2 linked regions of the Macaca fascicularis genome follow. The protein of the gene in region 2 purifies or fractionates together with the protein of the main gene of each other region. This does not show direct contact. Links are inferred from orthologs where the notes say so. Each region holds a gene or a part of one and is shown on either strand. Other genes may lie near its edges.

The links.
Region 1: the proteins of WDR44 (region 2) and VAPB purify together in Homo sapiens (affinity purification with mass spectrometry; 4 studies listed by BioGRID and IntAct, counting the BioPlex papers as one, with this or other methods). This does not show direct contact. The link is inferred for Macaca fascicularis from reciprocal best matches to the Homo sapiens genes WDR44 and VAPB.

The regions. Positions count from the first base shown.
Region 1 is NC_088384.1:114,511,589-114,513,950, reverse strand, and holds the end of VAPB (vesicle-associated membrane protein-associated protein B/C), read right to left. Parts: intron 2,100-2,362; coding exon 1,941-2,099; 3' UTR 626-1,940; downstream 1-625. UniProt on the Homo sapiens protein: Endoplasmic reticulum (ER)-anchored protein that mediates the formation of contact sites between the ER and endosomes via interaction with FFAT motif-containing proteins such as STARD3 or WDR44.
Region 2 is NC_088395.1:124,735,201-124,738,881, forward strand, and holds part of WDR44 (WD repeat-containing protein 44), read left to right. Parts: intron 1-134; coding exon 135-286; intron 287-2,756; coding exon 2,757-2,895; intron 2,896-3,681. UniProt on the Homo sapiens protein: Downstream effector for Rab11 which regulates Rab11 intracellular membrane trafficking functions such as endocytic recycling, intracellular ciliogenesis and protein export.

The DNA.
Region 1 (2,362 bases), on a different chromosome or scaffold from region 2:
TCATATTGGGGTGACCTCCCTGTCTGCACACTCAACGCAATCCATGGGTGCCTGGGTAACAACTAAGTCTGCTCACCATTTCTGTGAGTACCTGGGATTCAAAGTCAACTTTTTTCATGAAGACAGGAAGTTCCTTACTCACCAACCACAGACTTCCACTCCTCCTGTTTCAAGGCACCTGACCCAGCTTAACACAGCCAGGCTTAGGAGCAATGTGGCTTGATGTATGTGACTTCTAAGGACTGCCTTCCTTCTGATGAACTTGTCCTCTCAAACCTGTGCACAGTGGGACTGTGCCCAGAACGCCTGTTACTAGTCTCAATGGCATGGTTCCCTGACCTAGAAGCGAGGCTGCTTTTTACTGAAGGCCAAAGCAATGGAAGGCCAAGGGTGACCAGGTGCTCAGCTTTTTCAGCAGTTTTATTTTTCATACTGTCAGCTGAAGACAACCAAAAAAAAAAATATATATATATATATATACACACACACACACGTACATTTAAATCATGAAACACATATTTCCCAGTGATAGAGCTCATTTTAAAGTCAACCTTCCAATGGCAAAATAATAAAAATGATAAAATAATTCCCCCCATAAAGCAAATGTGACAAAATGACAAAAGAATTCTTAATTTTGGGGCTTTATTATAATTTTTCTTTTCAAGATGCTACATAGTCAAACAGAACTGGATTGGTCTTTTATGGCATAAAATTAATTCACAGTCAAACTCTCAACTAGTACTAGAAGGATTAGCTGAAGAGTCTCTCTCTCCCACTGCTCCCCACCCCCAACTGCTGGTGCCCTCGATTCTAACCTTCTGCACCCCGATCCATTCGTCCTGACTCCAAGCTAGGTCCCCAAGGAGAGGTTAGGCTCAGACTTGGGCCTGGGTGCTAAAAGTATGAGTAATGGTTGAGAGGTGGTATAAGAACAATCTAGAATACTGACTACTCTTCATTAAAAAAGGTAACCTAGAGTTGACTGTCACTACAGAGAATTTCCCTCCCTATGACAGTTGTTATTTACTGACCCAGAAAAACACTTCCTGACAGCTCTTCTCCAACATTCCAATAAACCCCACCTCCACATGACCAGACTCTCCAGAGACAGAGGAGCCCACAGACCTCCAGCAGCAATACCAGTTCACCCACCAGAGTTTGGCAGCACACAGCATTAACTGTACTCTTGTGACAATAAGAAAACATGAGATGAAATACATTAAATAAGTTAAATATGCATTAAACATCTCTGAATAACAGTTCAACTTCACTACATGAACCAATAAAAATTTAGCTTGGTCCCTTTAAGAGAACAAAGCACTGCCATTTATTTCCAAAGCGCTGGGTCAATCAGTCAACACACGCCTCTCACTTATGACGAGTACGTCTGATGCTGCCACAGTGCAATTCCTTTGGGCTTCTGACTCTGTTCATCAGTCCCAAGGAGCTGATGGCTTGGACAGAACTGAAGACATGGAAAGCAGCCTGGGCCGGGAGTGGGCCACGTGGGGACTACTGTGTGGAGATGACCTCACTCCCCACCACGCTGGGCTCCAGCTCCCCACGGGCCAGCACCAACAGGCGAGGAAGAGTGTCATTTTAAGAGAGGTAATCCAGCATCATGTACCAAGGCCTACCAATGTTTAAAATGACATTTACAATATGCCATTGTGACATTACTCATGGTTTCCCTTGTCATTAATAAAGATCATTCTTCCCCCCACAATCAGTTACTATACATTTTTAACTTTCTAAAAGATTGTTACATTATATTTGTGTGTGTGTATCTGTGTATGTGTGTGCAGGGAGGGGTAATTTAAAGGCAAGACCTGTGAGATGTCATCATACATTAATTTCTTTTTACACATGGTTATGATAAATTTAAATCCCATGATATGGTGGATCCATCAATCCAATTTACCATCCTGTGCATGCTACCTCTACAAGGCAATCTTCCCAATAATTACACCAACAATAAAGAACAAAACCACCAGAGCCAAGAGCCGGGTGCTAAGGCCTTCTTCCTTCCCAGTTGGGGCTAGCGCTGAAATGGGGCTGTTGCTCTGCACTGTCTTCCTCATCCGCAGTCCATCTTCTTCCTATGGGAGCAAATGCACATTTCAAAGACAAGCCAAGGCACCAGAAAGGGGAGTCAACCGTACAGCTTAACAGGATGGGCTGTTCATGCCCAGTGTTGGCCGACATGATATGGTCCAACCTCATTTTGCAAATGGAGAAACTGCAGGCTACAGAGGGGAAAGGGCTAGCCTGAAGCCACAGAGAAAACAGTCCCCTCTTTTCTTTCATACATTCCACTTGATGCTGCTAGTTATAACAGAAATCTAAACAGGGTGCTCCTTGG
Region 2 (3,681 bases):
AACCAGTATGTTACGTAATAAATAAATTTTGCTCTTCCATTTAATGAATTTTCTTGGTATGCAGGAAATATGAAACTATGATAGTAGCAATATCTATATTAGCTAGTAGTGATTTCTATTGCTTTTCTGTTCAGTGTTTCATACTGATCAAGATGATCCTTCATCAAGTGATGATGAAGGAATGCCATACACAAGACCAGTTAAATTCAAAGCAGCACACGGTTTCAAAGGACCTTATGATTTTGATCAGATCAAAGTGGTGCAAGATCTTAGTGGTGAACATATGGTAAGCAACTTTTTCATTTTTTAGGATTGATACTGTTTTTGTTAAGAGAAATACTTTGGCTTCTACAAAACTATCTCTATGTATGTAACTTTGCTAGCCTGACTCAAGAACGGTGAATTTATGTTAACATGATTTAATGAATAGGTAATACAGAGTCTGTCTCTGAAGTATTCCAGAAGTGACTTATCGGCCAGGTGTGGTGGCTCACGCCTGTAATCCCAGCACTTTGGGAGGCCAAGACAGGCGAATCACTTGAGTTCAGGAGTTCGAGACAGCCTGACCAATATGACGAAACCCTGTCTCTATGAAAAATATAAAAATTAGCCGAGCATGGTGGTGGGTGCCTGTAATCCCAGCTACTTGAGAGGCTGAGGCAGGAGAATTGCTTGAATCCGGGAGGCAGAGGTTGTGGTGAGTCGAGATCGTACCACTGCACTGCAGCCTGGGCTACAGAGTAAAAGACTCCGTCTCGAAAAAAAAAGAAAAAAGAAAAGAAAAAGAAAAAAATGAGTTATTGAATAAGTAAACTCTCAGCCTATATCACTAAGAAACCTATGCAAAGGCACCAAACTTTAAAGCAGTTAAATTAGAGGGTGGTCTGTAACTTTGAAAAATGTTTAAAATGTTCCCAACCATATTTTAAATAATTTACAAAATACATCAGAAGCTCAATATATGTTGTAAAGTGAGATATTCAGCTAAAACAAGGAGAGAGGTAAAAGTTCAAGTGCTCCTTTAGAGTTCAAAAGTACCAATGTAGATGCAGTTGCACAAACTGTATTGCAGTTAACCCCTGAAAATGCTAGGAACACAAGGAAGGCAGTGATAAAATTTAGAACTGAATAATGTTGTACCCTTGATTAGGGAATCTGTTTACATTTTAAGTCTAAAAGTTGGCTTAACTGGAAGGAAGCAACCATAAATATATTGGATGGCAACCAAATTCAAATTTAAATTTTGATGCTTACAATCTACAGATAAAATGTTTGAGTTGATTTTAGTATTTTCCTTAAGGAAATTGATAAATTTCCTAGTACTGTATTGACTCGTTGTTTCCTGTTTTAAATAAAATCTCATTGTAGTAGGCTCCAAATGACTCATTTTTAATACACTTGAATTTTGTAGAAGTGAATGGTTATTTCAATAAATGGGCTGTGGCATAATCTTTTTGATACATCTGAATGTGTATATAATAGTATTTCTTGTAATAATATTTGGTCTTTCCAACTTAAGAGGTTCGTGTTCTCTCTCCCTTCTCCTCTACCCCCACCACACACACATACTTTCCTACTGTTTTCAGTGTCTAGAGATTCTGGCCATATACTTTGAAACCTTGTTTCTAGAGAAAAAAGTAGGATGCACCATTCTAATACTACTACCTTTTTTTTTTCCTTTTTGTGGCAAAGTCTTGCTCTGTCACCCAGCTGGAGTACAGGGGCGGGATCTCTGCTCACTGCAGCCTCTGCCTCCTGAGCTCAAGCAGTCCTCCCTCCTCAGCCTCCTGAGTAGCTGGGACCACAGGTGCGCACCACCATGCCTGGCTAATTTTTTGTGGTTTTTGTAGAGATGGGGTTTCACCATGTTGCCCAGGCTAGTCTCGAACTCCTGAACTCAAGTGATCCACCCACCTGGACCTCCCAAAGTGCTGGGATTGCAAGCACGTGCCACCATGCCCAGCCCATTCCAAAACTGTAATACTTCTAAGTACCTGGTGCTATGAGGGTCACTGCCAAGGTGGGCTTTAGTCTTCCTCAATCCTGCTCAGTTGTTAGTGCTATGCTGAGGGCTCTGCCACCCGTCTTTATGTTCAGCTAGGGGACTGAGATCCCCAACTACGATTTGTGCTTTTCCAATGAAGATTTCTGACCACTTTAGAACTCCCATTTCTGTTAATATGTGGACAGGGTTTGAGTTCTTGAAGTTGTTAGTTTGGATTATGGAACACCACAACTATCTTACCCTACCTTTCTTCTGAAATTCTACTTTTGTGGTATTAAAGCACCATTGAACTTTTGGACTTAAGTAGTGTTAGCAATGTGAGGATTATTTTAGTATACATTATTTGGCATAATTTTAAACTTTGGCTTTAAAGTCTTGTCTCTAAATTTTATTTTATTTATTACTATTTTTAGATGGAGTTGCGCTTTTGTTGCCCAGGCTGGAGTGCAATGGCACGGTCTCAGCTCACTGCACCCTTCACCTCCCAGGTTCAAGTGATCCTCCTGCCTTAGCCTCCCAAGTGGCTGGGATTATAGGCGCCCACCACATGCCTAGCTAATTTTTGTATTTTTAGTAGAGATGGGGTTTTACCATGTTGGCCAGAATGGTCTCGAACTCCTGACCTTAGGTGATCCACCTGCCTCAGCCTCCCAAAGTGCTGAGATTACAGATGTGAGCCACCGTGCCCGGCCAAAAGTAAAGTCTCTAAAGTTGTAAAGTATTAACTTTGAACCTTCTTTTGTTTTCATAGGGAGCTGTTTGGACCATGAAATTTTCTCACTGTGGCCGATTACTTGCCTCAGCTGGACAAGACAATGTAGTGAGAATATGGGCTTTAAAAAATGCTTTTGACTATTTCAACAATATGCGAATGAAATACAATACTGAAGGTATTTTTCATGTATTTAAAAATCTACAGAAACCTGAAGTTTTTACATTTTAGGTATACTGATGCCCTACTTTTCTGGCAGTCATTTGCAGCAACCACTATTTATGATAATAGCCAAAAACTTGAAAGTAAGACAGACGTCAGTGGTAAAAAGTCTCTAAACCCAATGAAAAGAGCTGCCACAAAGCTTTTGATTTATCCCTTTCCAGGTGTAGTGTGTAGTTAATTTCATCAACTATTGAGAACATGTTATTTGGTTTCCTCTGGCAACCTTCAGTTCTATCCTAGGTTAAAATAGAATTGCTAATTAACTAGAAAAAGAATGAAAATCATATATATATCTCTCTCTCCAGTAAGTAAAAAAGATTAAGGAAAGAGTCATGGAAAATGAATGTGAATTGTCAATACATCAAGGGATATATGAAAAAAATGTTGAAAAGAGAAGCCTCAGAACATTATGTTCACACTGATTTCAACTATGTACATGTATGTAGAGTTGATGTAAATTTGGGCTTTTAAGTTTATGGGATTCTTCTCTAATAACTATTTAACTGTGTAATAAGTTTTTTCCACACACTCCCTGCCATCAAGTAAGGCTGCAAACAAGAAGTAAAGCATAGGAGGAAGGAGAAAAAAGGTGGCCATGGGTGAGAGTGAATAGTCAAAGCACCAATTTGAGGAACATAGAAGTCTAGGGAGATTCACTAAACTGGCAAGCTAGGCCTCATATACTTGAGTACATCCTGTGAGTATTGCTTGCATTATGTTTCAATACTTAGTTGAAGAT